Drosophila melanogaster: one gene and its partners. The protein of the gene in region 1 interacts with the protein of each later gene in a pairwise test. Each region holds a gene or a part of one and is shown on either strand. Other genes may lie near its edges.

The links.
Region 2: the proteins of d4 (region 1) and Pph13 interact in a two-hybrid assay, tested with the Drosophila melanogaster proteins (one large-scale study listed by BioGRID).
Region 3: the proteins of d4 (region 1) and eg interact in a two-hybrid assay, tested with the Drosophila melanogaster proteins (one large-scale study listed by BioGRID).
Region 4: the proteins of d4 (region 1) and Lpt interact in a two-hybrid assay, tested with the Drosophila melanogaster proteins (one large-scale study listed by BioGRID).

The regions. Positions count from the first base shown.
Region 1 is NT_033778.4:5,292,423-5,296,508, forward strand, and holds d4 (d4), read left to right. Parts: upstream 1-1,640; 5' UTR 1,641-1,842; coding exon 1,843-2,290; intron 2,291-2,374; coding exon 2,375-2,641; intron 2,642-2,693; coding exon 2,694-3,472; 3' UTR 3,473-3,543; downstream 3,544-4,086.
Region 2 is NT_033779.5:575,670-580,080, forward strand, and holds Pph13 (PvuII-PstI homology 13), read left to right. Parts: upstream 1-1,816; 5' UTR 1,817-2,323; coding exon 2,324-2,364; intron 2,365-2,485; coding exon 2,486-2,751; intron 2,752-2,814; coding exon 2,815-3,581; 3' UTR 3,582-3,880; downstream 3,881-4,411. Other genes in the region: Ptth (prothoracicotropic hormone), read right to left, coding at 108-353, 412-735, 845-931.
Region 3 is NT_037436.4:21,806,813-21,811,746, reverse strand, and holds the start of eg (eagle), read right to left. Parts: upstream 3,045-4,934; 5' UTR 2,943-3,044; intron 2,909-2,942; exon of another isoform or gene 2,510-2,908; intron 1-2,509.
Region 4 is NT_033778.4:23,896,734-23,904,193, forward strand, and holds Lpt (lost PHDs of trr), read left to right. Parts: upstream 1-1,827; 5' UTR 1,828-1,936; coding exon 1,937-2,531; intron 2,532-2,590; coding exon 2,591-2,713; intron 2,714-2,777; coding exon 2,778-2,947; intron 2,948-3,010; coding exon 3,011-3,201; intron 3,202-3,258; coding exon 3,259-5,222; intron 5,223-5,286; coding exon 5,287-5,431; intron 5,432-5,498; coding exon 5,499-5,797; intron 5,798-5,858; coding exon 5,859-6,167; intron 6,168-6,225; coding exon 6,226-6,878; 3' UTR 6,879-6,928; downstream 6,929-7,460. Other genes in the region: CG5339 (uncharacterized protein), read right to left, coding at 385-924, 982-1,266, 1,322-1,414; CG13562 (uncharacterized protein), read left to right, coding at 7,096-7,237, 7,302-7,460.

The DNA of each region.
Region 1 (4,086 bases):
ATTTGAAGATCAGTCTGATTCGGGAGGATTAAAAGAACGGTTTATTAGTGTATAAATAGATAACAATAAGTGTCTTGTAATAAAGTGATAAGTTGAAAAGTTTAACACCAATAAAAATACTAAAAAATAAAAAATTATTTTTTAAAATAATTTATACCGCAAAAAGTTAATTTACATATGTGAGGTTTGAGGCCAAAATTTTTTTCGGCTGCTTTTCATGGCGGGCCCCTGTGGTTGGCTAACTCTTTAGCGTGGAACTCTGAGGTGCTTAAAAATACCGTTTTTTCATTTTCACGGTACTGCACATAGAATTTTGTTTGTTTTCGTGCCTGCCTTCGTCCAGCGTTCCGCCTTTTATACACTCGTTGAAAGTATCCAAGCCAAAATCCCGCCATTCTGGTCTCGATCAGTACTTTCCACGGATACAGACGATTTTCCGATTATTATCGCTACATTTTGTTGCCCAATAAATGATCCTGGCAACTTTTTAATATACACTTACTGGTACGAGCGTCCAAGAATAATCCTGATCTATAATTCTTAATTTATCAGATCGGACACGTTTACTTTTTTTTCGCATATCGATAGAAATTTACAAAACTAACGGAAAAATATACAAATATCAAAACATTTTTTTAATATATTAGCCTGGCAGTCTTAAGCAGTTTGTGAATGCTTCTGGATCTGCATGCTTAATCTCAACCTTATAGCTTTAATAGTTCCTGAGCTTTCGACGTTCATGCGGACGGACATGGCCAATTCAACTCGGCTATTAATCGGATCAAGAATATATATACTTTATGTGATCAGAAACCGTTCCTTCGGGTTGTTACCTATTTTTTAACGAATCCAGTGTACCCTTTTAGTCTACGAGTAGCGGGTTTAGAAATGGAGCAGATGGTATCCTTGTCAAGGAAGTTTGCGGTACAATTTAATGAGATCCAACGCCTATGGTTTAACTTCTGGCGAATGATTGATCTTTAATAAATTTATATCTAATGTATACAGACTTTAAAACTTCGATTTAACTATCGACCCCTGCGGTGTTGATTTCGTGTTTTAAATGTTTTTGTATTTGTTTTAATACACTTGCTATACATCTACATCAAAAAATTCAAATAGAATTGTCAAATTCAAAACGACTGAATAAATTTCACCAGTGTGAATAGAAATAAAGAAGTGGTTTTCATGAAGAGGGTTATGTTTATCATTTTCATCAATATGGCTAAATTGGATAAATAACATATATTCTTAAAAAAAATTTTGAATAACTATTTAAAAGTCAAACTCAGTACATTTTGAACATGACTAATTCGAGACGATATGACCAGCCGTTAAGCATTAAGAGACTTTCACACTCCGAAAATTCTCCTTCAATGCGATAAAAATTCGGAATTAAAAAATATAGCATCAATGGTATAAAAACAAAAAAAAATAAATAAATTCTTTTAATGCAATGTTTATTTCTTAGCACTGGATCAAGAACTTTTGCTACAGAACTTATTGTTAATGTTAACTTATTGTTACGTATCAAGAAGTTGTGAATTGCGCATTAGGGAGCACTTGTGGAAATAACTTATTATAACTATGGTCGAGAACTTTGATATACATTTTGTATCTATTTTAAAATAGAAATACGTTCACACCTTTTCTAAATATTTAATTTTGTACTTCTTGCCTAGTGCCCCATAACAATTCTATATTTTGTTATTTGTATCAGCTTGAATTGTGTGTGAAGAAACATAAATTTTATCAATGACAAAAAAATATGTTGACAATTTAGCTCTTTAGTTTAGCTATTGCTTAACCAAATAATTCCTGCGGCTACCACTCGGCATCAACATGGCTTCCAAATCTGCGTACGAAAAAACTTTGGTAGTAAACATTGCCAATTTTGAAAAAATTCAGAACTTTTTAAATGACAAGGAAAAGTACAAGGAGATTCTAGAAAACAGCGAGAATTTCAACACTCGTCTATGCATTGAACGTCGACTTCGCATGCCATTCCTCGATCCCCAGACAGGTGTCGCACAGACACATTGCTCCCTCTTTATGAAAAAAAAACAGCGAATGCCAGGTCTTCGACATGGTCAGATATACACTTATCCATCGTCTCGGTGGCGCAAACCAAAACGTCAGTACTTACTTAACCCGAATCAAAGTTTCCGAGCCTATCAGTATCGCGAGCACAACCTTCAGCACTCCCACCATCAAACGCATCAGCATCACCATCATATACCTTCGTCTGGCGTTGCTGTACCACAAAATCCTCACTTAGCTGAAAGCGCAGGTAAAAAATTGCAGCTTATCGTCGGATGAAAGTCAATATTTTATACATCTGACATTTATATTTATTATGGGTTTTTATTTACAGCCATTGCTGCTACGGATGGCAACTCCATGGGAGCATCAGGAGATAATGATAGTAAGGACTCACATGCAAACGTCGAAAAAGAATGGTTCCACGATGAAATGGACACATCACATTTTCATCATGGCGATGAATTTGAGGATGACTTTGATTCAGATAACGATTTTGATGAGTCTTACACCAGCCGGGGCAAACGCAAAAAGTGTTCGCGTCCTAGACGAACAAATGCAAACGTAGAGGGTACTCCCAAACGGGGACGTAAAGGTGGTGGTGAGTACAAGTTTATTAAGCTGATGAATTGTAAACGTTATTGATACCCTAGGCAATCGTCGAAAGAACGCCGTTGAGGGAGAATCTGATCGAAAACGTAGAGCCGGTGGAAATAGTGCAAATACATCCGCAGCCGCAGCGGCAGCTGCCGCCGCTGTCGCACATGCAGCATGTACTGCAGCTGCTGTCGCTAGCACTGGGCTCTATGCATCTCATTCCAACTCAGCTTCGCCTATTCCCATAAATGACGACAATTCACAGTCAGGACTCATACTGCCAACAAACATATCGTCGTCGTACGATAAGACTTCAAGCGATGCTGGAGCTTCCAATGACTCAATTCCCCTAGCAACAATGGTTGCCATAAACGCGGGCCTGACAACCTCAAATGTTTGCAATGCGCATCCGGTGCAAACAGGAACAAATCAAACGGTGTTTGCTACTGGTAATAAGGTCAAACAACGTGTAGAACGTGACATAGCGCAACCATCACCTTATTGTGACTTTTGTCTGGGAGATCAACGAGAAAATAAAAAAACCAATATGCCCGAAGAGCTAGTATCGTGCTCGGACTGTGGTCGTTCCGGTCATCCATCGTGTCTGCAGTTCACGGCAAATATGATTATATCGGTAAAACGTTATCGTTGGCAATGCATTGAATGCAAGTACTGCTCCATCTGTGGGACCTCTGATAATGACGATCAACTTTTATTTTGTGACGATTGTGACCGGGGATACCATATGTACTGCCTGTCACCACCGCTTGTGACTCCACCAGAGGGTTCTTGGAGCTGCAAGCTATGCATGGAGGAGTTCCACAAGATTAAATAAGCTAATAAGCTACATTAATAATTCACCAATTATAAGTTAATCTTCTCATAAATATAAAAAACGTACATTTTACTTGGTTTGTTGAATTTTTTGGTCTTCTATTTTTCTTTTTATGCGCCTGTATGGGTTTTATCAGTTTTGGTTTAAGTAACCTAATTAATTTTTACACAGGTAAAGACACTTGACTAGCAACATATATCGAGAGTTCAATTGATAAAAATTATATATATATTATTGTGTAGTTTGGCGAAATTAAAGTCTGCTAATTTAATCCTCGCTATTTTTATTTTTTATTATATTTTATAAATGTTTCTTCTGTGTGCTTTTTGAATTACAAAGTGGCCAAATTAAAAGGAAATATAACCGTATAACGATTAGATTCGTTGAAAAGTATGTAACAGGCAGAAGAACGCGTTTCCGAATGTATAAGGTATATATATATGTTCTTGATCAGGATCATAGCGAATCGATCATGAACTATAAAAGCGCAAGTTTGTTGACCCATATTTTATTGTTTGTCTTGTTAATTTCTGTAGGTATTCCAAAAAACACTTTGGCCACGCCCTTCCTTTAACCATCAAAACGCCCGAAAACGTTGATTTAGAGCTTATAGA
Region 2 (4,411 bases), on another chromosome or scaffold:
ATCTGTTTCATATCGAATCTCTCCCACAATAAAGCAACTTTGACGTCTTTTTGGCGCTTTAATATACAATTAATTCACATTCACGATAGTTGCTCACATCCTTTCAATCACTTTGTGCAGAAGCAGCCGGCAGTTACGGTGACCGTTTTGAACTGCCAAGGTTGATCCTTGTTCATCCACGAATAGGGGTGATCGGACTGAGAGGTCTGTGCCAGGACCTTTACCTTATATTCCAGTGGCCTGCAATTGGATCCATGCGAGCACTTGGCCAGATCCCGACCAGCGCCCGATTCGCAAACGGCATTCATCAGAAAGCGAGGGAAGTGCAGACCACCCAGATCCACGAGCTCATTCTGGGAATAACAAAATAATTATAAACATCTGACGCGGCTGAATGGTATCCCAACGAACCGTAACTTTGCAGTCGCAGCCTGCGGAATGGACATCATTGCGTTTGGTGGTCACCAGATCCTCATAGAAATCGTTATAGTACATGGGCGGCAGCTGATGGGGCATGACCATCGCCATCTCTGTGGGATGTGGAGTGCTGGGACTGAATCCGAATAGGGCACTGAGCATTTTCGATGTACTGCGATCGGGCTGCTGCTCCTCCGCGCGGTGTTCCAGACTCCTTAGACCCACCATCTCGTCCAAACCTTCATCGCTGGCGTACTGACTGGCGATTCCTTTATTTGTCAGGCTAAGCAGCGCCATTGCCATAATGGAAATGGGCAACTTGGAACGGAAGGGTTTTAAAATGAATTCAGTTCGGAGTATATCCTTGTGCGCCCTCCTTTGTAATTTCGTTTCTATATCTTTCGGCTCTCATCCAGATGAAACTTACCCACGGCATCATGCTCGATCTGTGCCTGACCAGCGCTGTACTCCTTCTGCAGCTCTGGCCAAGGAGTCGCCATACTTTTATATCCATTTAGGACAAAAGCCGCCTCTCGGATTACCTTTTGTGCCAGAGATGAGAGCAGCAGCATCCATTACGGTTCGTCACCTGGACAGGATGGAACAATGGACTCCACAGTTGACACCACAACAATGGCAAGCCATGCCAAGCTCAAGTGGCCCGGCTGATGGGGTTGAGTCCCTCGGCTATTTATACTCCTCTGCTGCTTTCAATGCTTCAATGGGGGAAATGGCTTTAAGGCCTCAAGTGCCGGCAGAGGTGGAGAACTTTGGGCGGTGGGAGTAGCCAAAAGAAGCCCACTGACCCAGACATGTGTGCAGAGGCAAAGGGCAATCCGATCTCCTCCCATCGATAACGTTGACCAGGGTGGGTTTCTGGATTTTTGGTTTCCGAAACGGCTCCGAAACTTTTTCCATAGCATACTTTTGAGTGAGGAGCTGTGGGAAATGCAATTCCGATTGTATTTTACTTGTCGGATTTCCCCCAAATGGATGACATTTCCGTTTCATGGTCTTGTTTAAAGAATATTGTTTTTATAATGTGCAAAGGCAGATGAATGGTAAAAATAGTGGTTTATAGTCTTATGTAGAATTCTTAAACATTTTCCAGCTATGCACATCCTCCGAAGGCACCATGAGTTGCCATAAATTATGAGCTCACTATGTCTCCCACTTGGGCCAGTTTGGGTGAGGAGCACCGCCACTGGCATAACAAGCCCGGCTAGAACGACTGTCCAAGAGGCTAGACCGGGTCAGACCTCTTAGGCACATAGTATATACCCCTGTTCGTAGGGAGCCCGCGAGTGTGCGAGTGCCAGTGGACTGTGGTCGACTTCTACGGCTTCTGTCGACGGACAGCACGCACTGTCACTGTTCCCCGTGGAAATCCAAAATCCTCCTCAGTCGAATTCGCGTCGTCGAGGCAAGAACAGTGCCCGTGCCACAAGGTTGGACATGCACAGCTGGACAATCTGACATCGCTTAGCCATCAGCAGCTACATAGGTTCGAGCAAGGGAAGTCGGGACTTGGAATCGGAATCAGAATAAAAAACCAGGAGCGGAGGAGATGCAGATTCCGCTGGTGGGCGACTTATGCTGAGCTCCGCAGCTGCCTGTCTCCAAAGACTTCATCCGTGCTTTCGCCGTTGTTGTTGTGCAGTTTTTCCGCCGTGGAATTTGTCGAAGCGGAAAAGCGAGAAGAAGCAGCGACGCGAAGCCCTCGAAGTGTCGACGAAAATCGTTAAAAAATAGAAAAACACACGGCGACTATGTCACGACGCGCTTGAAGAGCCCCATCCTCGCTGAGGGAGATATTGAGATTGAGCGGGATCCACACCTCAGTGGCCACTACTCGCCACCCACTCCGCCAACGTCAACGTTCACCAACAGGAAGCTCAGGATTCGCATGGACAAAGGCACAATGAAGCGCAAGCAGCGGAGATACAGGTATAGCAGATACATTCGAAATGTACATATATCGCGGTATAAATCCAAAAACTGGACTAGTTTCATAAGTATCTACTAAAGCTATAGGTGCACTAACACTAGTTTTCCTAATGATCCGCAGAACCACATTTAACACACTGCAACTGCAGGAGCTGGAAAGGGCGTTCCAGCGGACACACTATCCGGACGTGTTTTTCCGAGAGGAGCTGGCCGTGAGGATCGATTTGACGGAGGCGAGGGTGCAGGTGTGGTTCCAGAACCGGCGGGCCAAGTGGCGCAAGCAGGAGAAGATCGGTGGGCTTGGCGGAGATTATAAGGAGGGTGCGTTGGATCTCGACGTGTCCTACGACGACAGCGCCGTCCTGGGCCAACTGGATAGTGCGCTGGGTAAGAAAGGATATCTCTGTTACCTATCAACCCATCGCTAGTAATGACCCATATTGATTTCAGGCGGCGGTGGAACTCTATTGCCGGACACCCCACCGCAATCCTCGAACTCCCTTGATAACGAACTTAAGGCCTCCTACGGCACGGGGGCCATGTCGCCCTCTAGGCTGTCACCGAATATATTTCTCAACCTCAACATTGACCACTTGGGACTGGAGCGGGGTGGCAGTGGCCTCTCCATGGAGTGGTCCACATATCCTCCGCAAACGCAAGCGCAGACACACCCGCAGATGGACTCCGACAATCAGCTCCAGCAGCACCCGCCTCAACAGCATGCATCCGATCCGATTCACGCCGGGAGTTCGAGTCATCACCAGCAGCAGCAGCAGCAGCACCAGCAGGAGCAGCACAATCCCCAGCTTCATCCGGGGCTTGAGTTTGCCGCCTCATTGAGTTTGGACATGACCGATGGCTCCTCCGCCTACGACGAGATGAAGTTTCTCAGCGTGGACGTGGACCAGTTCACGATCGACAGCTTCAAGGCGGACTGCATTCTGAGCATGGAGCAGTCCCAGATGCAGGCCTACGGCGGTCACTCCCAGCTGGTCGGATCATCCAATGAACTGTGCCTGGACGGGATTGGCATGTCCTCCTTTGGCATGGAAGAGGGTGAGCCCAAGTCGCCTCCCTCTCTTTTGGTGCTGGACAAGTCGCTGCCCTCTTTGAGCATAGGCGTGGAAGGAATCGCTGATCTCGTGGAGCAACTGCATCATCACCAGCATGAGGGCGGCCCAGTGGGCGGTGGTGTCATCACTGGCGATGTCATGTGAATCCAACTTAGGCGAATTCTCAGTTTCTCAGCGGTAAACTGAAGTGCGAAACCTGCTCTAGTTATATTCTTGTTTTCTAGTCAATGTTAATGTCTAAGTTCAAGACCCAACAAGGTCGCCACACTTGACTACAAATATTTGGATGGTTAACTTACAAAAATTTTAGTACTAAATACTAGTTTATCTGAAGTTGTATTACTTTAGTCCTGGAAATGTGTCTTGATAAATAGCAAAGTGGTTTACATAAAGAGAACCTGTAAGTTTATAACATTTGAAAACAACGAGAATTGTTGAAAAAGAATATTTTTCGTAGTGTACATTTGTGAATTTCGAAACATTCGAATCGAATCGAAACGAAACGGAACGGAACGGGTCCTTGACTACGAGCACGGGTACCTTTTCTGGCCAGGCTCAGCCATAGCTTCTATGGATTCCGCATGTGTGTGCCAAACAAAGGAACCCCCCCCCCCTACGCCCCTGCCACGTCCCCTACCCTCTGCACACGCCTTATTTGTGGCTCGGATTAGAGGCAAGCTAGTTGTGCGATTTGAATGGATTTCGGCTTCCAGTGCTGTTTGTTCGGCAATAACATTTGCTTTGCTTTTTAACAATTACCAAAGACCGCTCCACGCTCCTCCCTGACCTGCCCACTGGTTGGCTGTAATTTCCATTTACTCCTATTAACGAGGATTTCTGTAGCTCCTGATCCTAAGCATCCTCAACGAACAACTCCTACGCTCCATTAAGTGAAAAGCTCACAGCAGAGATGATAAATATGGTGAAATTTAATGAAATTGTCAGTTAGTTCTAAAGTACTACAATAGATATGC
Region 3 (4,934 bases), on another chromosome or scaffold:
AACATTAAATTTGCACCTTCACAGCAAGCGAGCCATCGACCGCGAAACCGTGACAATTTTCGGCACAGCGGTGCACTTTTTCAGAAAGCAGGAAAATCATCGAGGAGATCTTCCATCTCTGGGTCCCAAAGACTCAGAACCGCAGTTCGTGGTGGAGCTGGAGTGGTAAGCCAGATTGCACTCAGCTAGAAAGAAGATCTCTGAATGGAGGAGTTTTGGGGAAATGGATTCATAAGCATCGTGTTAGCCGAAAAATGAGTATAATTACATCAAATAGGTGCATTTACCTTCGACATTGGGAACAACCTATATTACTGCTGCACTGCTTTCATAAATAAGCACTCATAAAACTAAATATTTATGCACTTAATATGCATAGAAGTGCTGTAAATTGCAATACATCTCGCCGTACCTGAACTTCGTAGATAAAGAACCAAAAAGTCAAAAATCATTTCGATCCTTATTGAGAAACCCGATTGAAATCCAATTGAGCGGCACGCTCGAGCTATAAACTTGCAGATCCCTATCCGCAGGCGGCATCTCAATCTTTTTGGCTTTATCACGACGACAACGACCAAGGCCACTGATCCACGTAACCGGGCGCATATTTGAGAGTCTTGTTCTTGGGGCATCTTTAGGACCCCTTTAAGTCAGCGCATAGAAGTAGTAGATGTCATGGAGGAGTACATAATTCCCATGCTTCGAGCTAATTACAAGTCCTCAAGCCGAGCCCAAATTTAAGGTGAATGCAATGCTTAGGTCCGATGGCCAGTTCGATTTGTGGGAAAACAATGAGTAGACGAGAGTTGTGCCAAAGACATTCTAGTGTCTTTGGTTGTGCCAATTCGAAATATTTGACTCTGCAGGTTCCTTTCAAATTTAAAAACAGAATCCCCATTGTTCATTTCTGAGTGTATATCGAACCGAACAGATCAGACCAGATATAGGAACGATCTTGGCTGTCAGACTTATCGATTAAGCCAAGATTAATGTTACACATTGGGCAGAAACAGACAATTAATTAGAAACCTAAACTGCTACAGAAACTACAACTGTATATTGATCGCAAGCCAAGTGGAGGAGATTGTTCGGATCTAATCTATGGAGATCTGCAGATGAACTCGATGGGGACAAGTTCAGAGCGGCTTAGACAATAAGAACCAGATCAGTTGGTCGCTGCCACATTCTCAACAAGCTCATCAACTCGCTGTTGACAGAGCTGAAAAAAAGTGGGCAGAACGTTGGACTTCTCTCAATAGGAATAATAAACAAGGTCCCAAAAAAATGTGTCCTTTAAAGCAAACAAAATGATGGACAATGCCAAATCTGATAAAGGCAACAGAGGGAGAAAAGGTGTTCAAACAAGCAAACCACGATTGTCTCAAATATTTTGAAGCCGCTACAAAATAGAACAAGAATCAAGAACACAGCCCACTGAACCGAACCCCGGAGCATTGACACAATCTGCAATCCAAATCCAAGTCCAAGCCCTAACCCAAACCCAAACCCAAGCCCAAACCCTTCCTACACCCGAATCGCCTTCCATCTCGCGCACAATTGCCGGTAATATGCTTTATTATTAGCCCTGCCAACCACTGGAGACGGACATTCGCAGTATGCAAATCCACTCAGCAGTCACACGCTCTAGTTTGAATTGTCTGCTTCCGCAATTCTTGATCTGCGATCCTCCATCCTCCATCCTCCATCCTCCATCCTCCATCCTCCATCCTCCATCCTCCATCCTCCATCCTTGATCCTTCTTCCTTCGCGATCGAGGATCCACGATCCAGTCGCTTCAGGCTGCCCCTGGCCCTTTTCTGCTTGATTGCCGACAGCAGTTGGACAATTAAATGTTTGAATATCTCCCATCTTTGTCCATTCGCAGCCCCTATTGTAGAAATTTCTTGACACTTATCGCACAAAAGGCAATAACATTATTAATGAGCATGTCAATGAGCTTCTTTTGTCTTCACCATTACACTTTTTCTGGTTCTCCTTGGTCCTCCTTAGTGGTGTGAGTACGAACTCATGGGAGTTAAGCTTGGTCCTTGATAGCTGGGGATAGTTGGGCCATTTCTTCGCAACAGATTTGTCTTTTTATTGTTGGTTTTTTGTTTTGATTTTAATAGTTTGTACTAAGTATTTCAATTATTGCTAAAAATATTATTAAATTGTATAATTTCAGTCTTTAATTGGTTTGGTTTTTATAATGCAATTGTTTTCGGTATTAATCTTTTATTTGCGATTTATTTTGACTTACAACAACCATCCGACAAATTTATGGAAATTATGCAAAATGGTTTTTATTCAATTAAGCCTTTAATATATATATTGCTTGTATTTATCTATTGTTTTAGCGTTTGAATTATGTGTCCAGCATCTCAACTTGTTGTTGTCTCATTAATTCAATGAATAAATGTTTTATTTATTCTCTTAATATGTTTTGTTTGTCAGCAGGGAGACTTAGCCATTTTTTAATAGCATAAGCTCATATACAACAAAATCTTACCTTTTCCAGATCATATATTTCCACAACAGCATAAATTCGATGTTTTTACCAACTCACTATTTATTTATTTTTTCCTCTTTAGATGTTAATTTTTCCAGTTTTTTTTTTAACTTCACACACTGGGATACGTTTGAATGAAAATCAACTGATTATATCAAACACACTCTTCACATGACACCTTAAATCCGAATTATCGCTGATGATATAGCGACGGCTTTCGAAGGAGATTTCAGCAATCACGTGGCGCACATAGTGCCGAAAAACTTCGCGATCGGTCGGATATAATGCGATTGCGAGAGCGAGAGAACAGCGAAAGCCTGACTGACGGTGCTTGGCAGCGTAGCGTCCATCCGAGACTAAATCGTCGCCGTCGTTCTGAGCGCCAAACAGACTCGAACTGGCAGCGCGGCCCTGGCCTCAAAGATCATCTTACCCCAGCAGCAGCAGCATCTGCAGCGCGGCAGCACGAACAGCAGCACTAACAGCAACAGCAGCGGCAACAAGACAACAAAGCGCACGCGTCGCTAGATTGTGTGCGTGCGTTTGCAACAGTGGCAGGGCACGGCGAAACTTAACTGTTAATCGGCGGCCGTCGCTGCAGGAAATCCTGTTTGGCAAACAGCTGCTGTGGCGAATGGTGCGCGTGCTCCGTTCTGCCGGTTTAACAGCAATGTTATGGCGGTAAGATCTGTTGACTGAACTGTTAACGAAACAAGATTTGTTATTTTCGGGAGAATTTTAAAACAATTATATTAAATATATATTATTAAATAATATATTAAAGATATTATTGACAAGTTAGTACCCTGAAAAAATGCAGTTTTTTGTTTCTACAACGCTAACTGAAATAAGTCAAAACGCATTTATGTATATTAAGAGTGCTAACATTTTTCTCCAAGTGCACCCTGCTACCGACCTCGCTTCGAACATGTTTGCTGTACGTTTCCAGCTCGGTTCGCGACTCTCCGCTCTCCGTAAATGTTAAAGCGTCGCATCTTCTGAGAGCTGAACTGTGGTTGGCTGTTGGCACCGGCACGATCTCCAAGCGTTTCGTTCGTTTCCATTGAATACTGTGTCGATGCGGTTGGCTGTTGGCTGATGTCTTTTTACCCCCGTTTGACTCTACACACGGTACTGTTATCATTTGAGTGTATTGGCCGCGAGAGTGTTGGCCCTGGTTTGCTTCGTTGTGCATGTGCATCCAATTGAACTCGTATTGGACGACTAATGTGGCAAGGAGGTGGGCACTTAATGCCCGGCGATCAGTGTAAACAAACATTGGGAGAAACCAAGAAAACATCAGAGGTTATTTGTGGCTTGACCTGCAAAATGGAGAAAACAAGTTCGCCTCCCTAGTCTTTCGTATATTTAAATATTTTTATGTGAATCTTTGTCGGATTGATAACGATTGGAGATGACCACATGGAAAACATATGCATAGATGTTGGTTTATTCTATCTGGGGGCACTGCAGAATTCTTTTAGGTTGAATACAAAATTCTGCCACTAATGGTATATATAAAGCTATATTCTTGTGAGCGTAAATAAAATAAAAGTTGCATGAGATTGTTTAACAAGGAATCAATTTTATTAGGGCTAAATGGTATCCATTTAAATACATTCGATACGGTACTTCAACAACAATTGCAAAATAATCAATGCTAGTTCTGTGCTGCTTAAATCGGATTGCCACCAGGCGCAAAATTGCCAGTGGAACAATCAACGCGTTTCCATATGTCTAATTGAATTCTCCTGTCATAAGCATGATCAGATGACTGCCTTCGTGCGCCGAGATGCCCACTAAAGTGATCCCCGGGCATTTGACCAGTCGTTGTCTGTCCCTCCATCTCAACTCATCTCAGCTCAGACTTAGACTCAGGCTCAGGCTCAGGCTCAGACTCCCGGCTTCTGTCACTTGGTGATGATGATGATTTCATTTTAATAACACCACTGGACGGAAGAAGAGTGCCACGGCGGAGATCGTTTAATACTCTGCATTCGCCGCGGCCGTGTCAACACCACTTGACGGAGTAACAAGGAAGCGCAACACTCTAAAACGACGTGTAATTTATCACAGCCAAAAGCATTTAGCCATGAACTGGAACGGAGACTCCGATTGCGACTGCAACTGAATCTGGCTAGTTTCTTGGAGTAGTTTCCTCTGGCTCTGCCTGTCAGTATAGTTGTCGTCATAATCTGCCAAGTGGCGATGCAGCTCCTGGAGCTGCTGCGGTGCAATTTGGTCGTCATATTAAAATTTCTTCAGCTCGTGGGCAATCTGAAATTTTCCCTCCGCTCTCTCCAAATTTTTAATTAAGTTTGGGCCTTGGCAACGGGCGCATGCGTATCTCGCCTGCTTGCGTGCTCATCTCTCAACTCGGTGATGAGTTGGGGCATTAGCTTAGATGGCTGCCCATATTTATTAG
Region 4 (7,460 bases), about 19 Mb from region 1:
CATAATACCTTCGACAATACTGACATTTGTTATTAAACAGCTGCTCGTCAAATACATATTCTAAGTTACCTGATTACTGCCACAAGTATCAAGTTAGATGCATTAAAACTACCCAAGACTGTAGAATAACTACAATTAGTTGATAATATCGAGAACAGTATTCAGTTTCGAACGCGGCTTTGAATGTCGCCCTTTAATTTAAACATGTTTGTTTATCCATTTACATTTTTGGTAATTCTTTAAGAATAAATTGTTTAACTAGTTGATAGCCTACATTTGTAATAAGTATAAATGCTCAGTTTCTCAATGCAGCCACTTAACTCTACGAGGAAAACGGTTACAATAACTTCAGAAGGGTTCTTTTTAGGATGTGGAAGCTTTGATCTAGAATGTCTTCTTGGAAATGACAACAATTAAATCGATTAACCAATAGAACGACTGGTGGAGATCACCCTCGCACAAGTACGGCGCCTTGGTCCATGCCTCCACGCGGTAGCCACAGTTCTCCAGCAGCTCCATAAACCTGGCCGCCTCCTCCTCGAACGACGCCTGTCGCCCGTTGTTCTCCAGCAGCGGGCGCAGCGGCAGATGCGAGGTATTCGTCTCCACGTAGTGCATGTAGGGAAGTACTAAGGCCACAACTGCTCGACCATTGGGAGCTAGTGCCAGGTGAATGTCCTCGAGCAGCTTGAATGAATCGAAGCAGCGGTCCAATACGTTGAGGCACAGAATCAATTCCAGGTTCTGCAGACCGTCTATCTCGGTGATTACGTTGAAGTTCAGCTTCTTCAGCCGATCGCGCATGGTCCAACTGGCCTCGGTGGCGAAGACCCGCAGCCCGGCACTTCCGCTCAGCTCGGAAACGGTGTTGGCCACGCGCAGCGAAATCTCACCGTCCCCGGCTCCGATATCCAGCAACGTGACCTACGATATGATGGCAGATGAGTAGTGGTCAAGACTAAAGGCTTTTACTCATCTTACAGGTTCTTGACCGCTGGCAGGCTGAAAGCCGCCTGCTACTAGCAGCTTGCGAAACTGTTCCTCGGACAGTATGAACATGGAGCCGCGCTTCAGGAACCCGTTGATGTCCGTCTGGGTCATGAAGAACTGCAGGATTGAGCGAGCCAGGGCGTGCCACAAGTGGGTCCAGATGTTTGCCGAAAGCGCCTTGGTGCGCTCCAGCCAGCTCACGGTGGTGGCATCCGGCTCGAGCGGCACGAACTTGGACTGGAATCTCGGCGGCAGCTCGTGGTTCAGGCAGTACCACTGAAATGCATCCAGAATTTAGGAAAAATCATATTGTTTCGGGATTTCGAGTTACCTTCCGAGTGTCTATGTCCTCCAGAGAGTTGTCGTTGTGGAATTTGGCGTGGATTACCCTGGCCAGGGTGCCGCGGGGACGATACACAGCCATGCTAACAGAATAGTCTATAATTGTGCTTTTATTTACATTTTCTACTTCTGTGTGTTTAACTTAGTTGTGCCATCATTTTTCCAGTTTGAAGAACTGGAGTACGGTATTTTTCCAGGGCTGGATTGCAGAGTTGCACTTTGATCAGCTGAATGCGATTGGTAAAGGTATATCGATATGTAGGCGTGACAGCCTAATGTAAGTGTATTATTATTTATAATGTATAATTTCAGAAATTAATTAATTAATTTGTAGCCGCATAAAAAAAATTAAAATATGATGTTATATTTGATTTGCCATTTAAAAGTATAAATACTTTGTAATATAAGGAAGACTTTTATATTTATATCTAATAATTGTACTACTCGCTCTGCAAACGAACGCACATCGTTCTCGACAACATTGACGCCTGTTCGATAACATTGGGGCGCGATGCACGTTGACATTTTATTTAGCTGTCGAGTAATGTATACAAAATAAGCGGCGGCTATTTTTTGTTATTTTAATGAAACGCATCAATCCGCGATGAGCACGAACGTTGTTGTGAGCATGGAGGAGAAGGCGGTGGCCGACGACCTGCCGTACTTCCCGGAGAAGTTTCCGGGCAAGGTGTGCTGTTTATGCAATCTCGGCGAGAAGAGTGCCTTGGGCCAGGGCGAGATTCTACAACTGAAGGCGCCCGCGCCCGCCGAGATCAAGGATAAATATCCGACGGATCGGCTGAGGGAGGACGGATCCAGGCTGTTATACGGGCCTAAGCAGGCCGCTTCTAGTTCGGGCGATTGTCACTACGAGCTGGACAAGATTGGACAGCCGGACGTCGTGCATCCCGCCGAATTTCTTGACGAGGGGTTCGTCTACGTGCACCGCATGTGCATCATGTGGTCGCTGCGCAAAAGTCAGATAAGCGATGCAGATGGCGCGTACTTTGCCACCCACTTCGCGGAGTTCCTGGAGCAAAAGTGCAACTTTTGTGGACGCTACGGGGCCTCCATCAACTGCAAGATGAACTGCCGCCAGGTGCACCATTGGCCGTGTGCCGCCGCTGCTGGGTGCCTTCTGATCCTCGAGAGCTTTACGGTCTTCTGCACGGAACATTTGAGCCAGGTGCCTGTGATATGTAAGTGATTCTTGGGCAGCAAACTCTCACAGAAACTAATGGAAACAAATGACTTACAGGCAGCGACAATAATGTGGAGTGTCTGTCCTGCTCCTCGCTGGGGGATCTGTCCAAGCTGATCATGTGTAGTACCTGCGGAGACCACTTTCATTCGACCTGCATTGGTCTGGCCAATTTGCCGGGTAACTACTGTCAAGTACCATCGTACCATTGGTTTACATGTTTACATGTTTAATGCTTCCATAGATACGCGTTCTGGGTGGAACTGCGCCCGTTGCACAAAATGCCAGATTTGCAGGCAGCAAGACTCGAACGACACCAAGTACGTTAAGTGTGAGCAATGCCAGAAGACTTACCACGCCTCCTGCTTGCGACCAGTTATCTCAGCCATCCCCAAATATGGCTGGAAGTGCAATGTAAGCAGATATTGACGGATATTAAGTGTTATCCAATACTTATGGTATTTATGTTCCTTCTAGCGCTGTCGCGTCTGTACGGATTGTGGTTCAAGAACTCCTGGCGGCGGCAGCTCCTCCCGCTGGCATAGCCACTACACAATCTGCGATTCGTGCTATCAGCAGCGGAACAAGGGCTTTTCCTGCCCGATTTGCCAGAAAGCGTACAGGGCAGCATCGCACAAGGAAATGGTCAAGTGCAGCTGGTGCAACAAGTACGTTTCACTCGCTTCTGCCTGATTAGTCTTGCTTATTATATGGATTCGTTTCAGATTTGTGCACAGTACGTGTGACGAAGAGGCGGATTTAACGGCCTACCACAAGAAGAAGGAGCAAAACCCAGATTACGACTACGTGTGTCCGAATTGCAAGAGTAATTCGTCGGGCCCGGGATCATCCCAACAGACAATCGACTCGATCGTGCTGTCCGCCATGGATTCGTCGTCGGAGCAACTGAGCCTCAAGGAAATCGAACTTGACCCGCTGGAGGGCAAACCCACAATGGATCCATCGAGCGATGAGCTCCACAAGCTACCCACCGGCAAGAAAAAAGTGTGCCTTACGAGTGTTCGCGGTAGAAGCGGAAAGTTCGTCCTACACCGCATGGGTGTGATGTCGCAGATCAACAAGAAACGCAGCACCCGAGGCAAGGGGCGCCAGCTTGCGCTGCCCACCATCTCGAGCGATCGCTGCCTGAGTCGCAGCATGGAAACAGATCTGACCAGCGACAAAAAGCTGCTGCTCTGCTCGGCGCGGGATAAGTTTATCCAAGCGCAAGACATCTGCGTAATGTGCGGCTCGCTGGGCATTGAGAGCGATTCCGTGATGATCACCTGCGCACAGTGCGGCCAATGCTATCATCCGTACTGCGCCGGCGTGAAGCCTTCGCGAGGCATCCTGCAGAAGGGTTGGCGATGCCTGGACTGCACAGTGTGCGAGGGATGTGGCAAGAAGAACGACGAGGCGCGCCTGCTCCTGTGCGACGAGTGCGACATTTCGTATCACATTTACTGTGTGAATCCTCCGCTGGAAACCGTGCCCACGGGCAACTGGAAGTGCTCGTTCTGTACACTGTGCCAGAAATGCGGTCGCAATCCCACCGAGAAGAGCGAGTTCGGGGACTCCAACATGCTCGAGTGCCCATCCTGCACCAGCCAATCCTCGTGTCCCGTCTGCAAAGTCTCGTACAGCAACGGCGAGATGATCATCCAGTGCGAGCACTGCGAGCTATGGGCGCACTTCCACTGCGACTCTGTCAATGCCCAGCTGACCATTGACCACTACGACAACAATGTGTACAAGTGTTTCAAGTGCCGCTGCTCGACGAGGAGCACTAACTCCCTGGCGGATGCCAAGTTTGGTAACGAGGATTCGCTGGCCATAACTCCCCAGGGCAGCAAACCATTTGTGCACATCACAGCCTCCTCCGGGCCGTCTTTCGATTCTAAGAGTGGTGCCGAGCGAAATCATCCTACCTTATCCGGCGATATGCCCGAGTCTGCTCCAGAAGCGCTCCACTGGATTGACGGAGTGTGCCTGAGCGAAAGCGGATTGGGCATGATCAAGTCATTGTCCACGGAGATCAAACGCAAGCGCAAAATGCGACAAGCCCTCGGCAATGGCAAGGATGGACAATTGGAGGCCGCCGCCGAGGAAGCGCTGGAAAAGTACAAAGACGGCATGGTCTGGGATGGGACGGAGAACGCTATTCCCGAGGGTTTCACCATCTCCATTAACGACGAGGGAGTGAACATATTACGCAAGAAGCGACAGCGCAATCTGCAGAAGCTGGGCATTGGTGGATTCTCCGTTCGCAACCGAGGTCTCAAGAAGGACAGCGAGGAGACGACGGCCGTTGACCAAATAAATTCCCTTATGACCATGGACAAAAAGAAGAAAATCATACGAAAGAAGCAGAAGAACAAGCTGATTGAAGCCTATCCCGTGTACTTGCAAGAGGCCTTCTTCGGAAAACCTCTGCTGGAAGGTGGAGAGCTTGTCATGGCCGATACAGATTCCTCTGACGAAATTGATGCGTCCATGAAGGTTTACTTCACGCGGCCCGAGGGCAAGAGTCCTGCCAACCAGGACACACTGGCGGTGAACAAGAGTCCAGCGAAGACCGTGAAGAAAGTTAAAGCTGAGTTGAAAACTGAGAACAAAACTGTTTTCATTCAGCAAATGCCCATGGGAATCCAGAACAAAAACGGAACGACGCCAGTGTCTAATGTTTTTGGTAAATGTTTAACCAACCCACTGACCACTTTATTCCCAGGTTGTATCGTTTACCATTTTTGCAGATCCCTTGCAAGCGGAGATTTCGAACACTGTCTTTGCTAACCGGCATCCTTTGGATGCGTTGGCTTCACCAAATGTTCCGGAACTGGACATGGCTAACTCTGTTAGTACGGTTCCATCAGCTGAAGTCATTGAAAAACCAATGCGGTGAGCCTCATGTCCATATGCCAGTCTATTCTAAGCTTATTAATTTGTTCTTTTTTCTTTCTCAAAGGGAATCACCTGCGGTCCTGGTCGACAGTTTCATGGTCCCCAACCAGTTGCCACAGGAACAGAAGTTTCACAATCAGCTATATTTGGGCGGAAATACTTTGGTTAATCCCGCCCAGCAGCTTCAGTTCCGTCAGCAGGCACCACAAAATGCCAATAAGCAGAATATGCAAACTATAATGAGCCAAGTCGTTTTGCAAACCGAAAAGAGACCAGAGGAGGAGCAGAAGGTTGTGGAGCCCGTGACGGAAACCCTGAACGCTGGCACTCAAAAGACGGCGGAGAAAATGCGCAAGGATGAGGGTATGAGGGTGCATTTAAATAGTGTAGGATTCAAATGCTCATCACCCCATTTGTTTTGCAGATCTTGGGCTCATGGCCACCATTTCGGCCGTGCTGTATGCCAATACTGAGCATCCCAACCTGAAGGAGTTGTTTCCGATTTGGAACGACCGCTGCAAGCAGATTCTGAAGAGGTGGCGCTCGCTGTGCAACGAGAAGAAGGCGCCGTTCTTGCAGAAGGCCAAGGACAATCGCTCAGCACTGCGGCAGAGGCGGGAACAGAACAAAATACCTATGCCACCGAAACCACAGAAGCAGGAGGAAATGGGAAGAGTGTGGAAACAACCGCCCAAGCTGAAGGAAGACCAGCCGAACATGTTTGTCACGTACAGTAAGTGCTGCAGCTCAAGACTTGTTTTAGTTGCTCTAACCCTTGTTTTTTCGTCTAGATGGAAACGCCTACGATATGGGCAACTATGTTGGTGGCTCGGCGCAGGCAGCGTCCAATAATCCCAATCCGCATCACGTGATGCCGAACGTTAACGATAATCTGGTGATTAAGGCCACGATGCAAAGGACTCAGGTGCACACGACAGCAGCCAGCACCTTGAAAATGACCACCGTGGACAATAGGCTGGAGTTGAACACGGCGGTGTACGGCACGGAACCCATTGGCGACAAGAAGCTCAGGAACCTGCTGCAGAAGAACAGCACGGAGCCGATGCTCATGGGGGCCAACTCGGACTTGTTCTTGGGCAACGATGTAATGCGGCTGGGAATGATGCAGAACACACCCATTACGCAGAACAATCCCATGCTGAGCATAAGTGGAAAATCTCAGCCATCTGAAGGCAGGTCCTTGGAGCAGGATGTGAAGTTGGGCGAGCCGCAGGAGGCAACCTCTTCCGCCGTGGAGTTGGAGAATGTCGGATTCAGCGACCTTCTGGGAGGACTCGGCGAGGGCGACGACGACGACCTACTCAAGTCGCTCACTTCCGAAATGGGAGACGACTTCAATATCCTGGAGTACGCGGACCCAGAACTGGACGTCAATGTTCTCAACTCCCTAGATTTTGATGACAATGAAAAGTGCTCTACATAGGAGAAGCGGAATCGTTTAAATTGAAATAAAGAAAATGCAATATTTAATAGAAAGCGCCACTTTTGAATGCAGCCTCTTTTGGCGCCAAACCCCATTCTTCATCGATTGCCGTATACCATATCGAATTTGTATCTCTTCGGCACAGAAAACTGGTTTTCTACGCGGTTTGCACTGTTGTTACTTTTTATTTTCAGCTAACCATCCAGATGACCAGATAATGCAGTTGTTCAGTAGTTTCCACTCAATCCTAATTGTTTGCTGTGTTCTCTTAATTGATGGAACGCACTCGAAACTGAATCTTAAATATGCCATTTTGAGGCAAAAGCAAGCAGCAAAGGCAACGCAAAATGACACTTTGGGTATGGATGTGGGAGAAAGTTTCTGCTGGACGAGCGTATCATGTCGATGTTTTTGTTTATGAAGCCCACCAGCAGAGAATCAAATATGATGCCCAGAAGACCATGAAGGTGATGTTCTACAAGAACAACACCAAAACCATGGAGACTTCGGCCTACGACGATGCCTACGATCTCAGTGGCTCGGGTTGCTCGCCCACGGACAAGTTTGCCATAGTTCTGCATG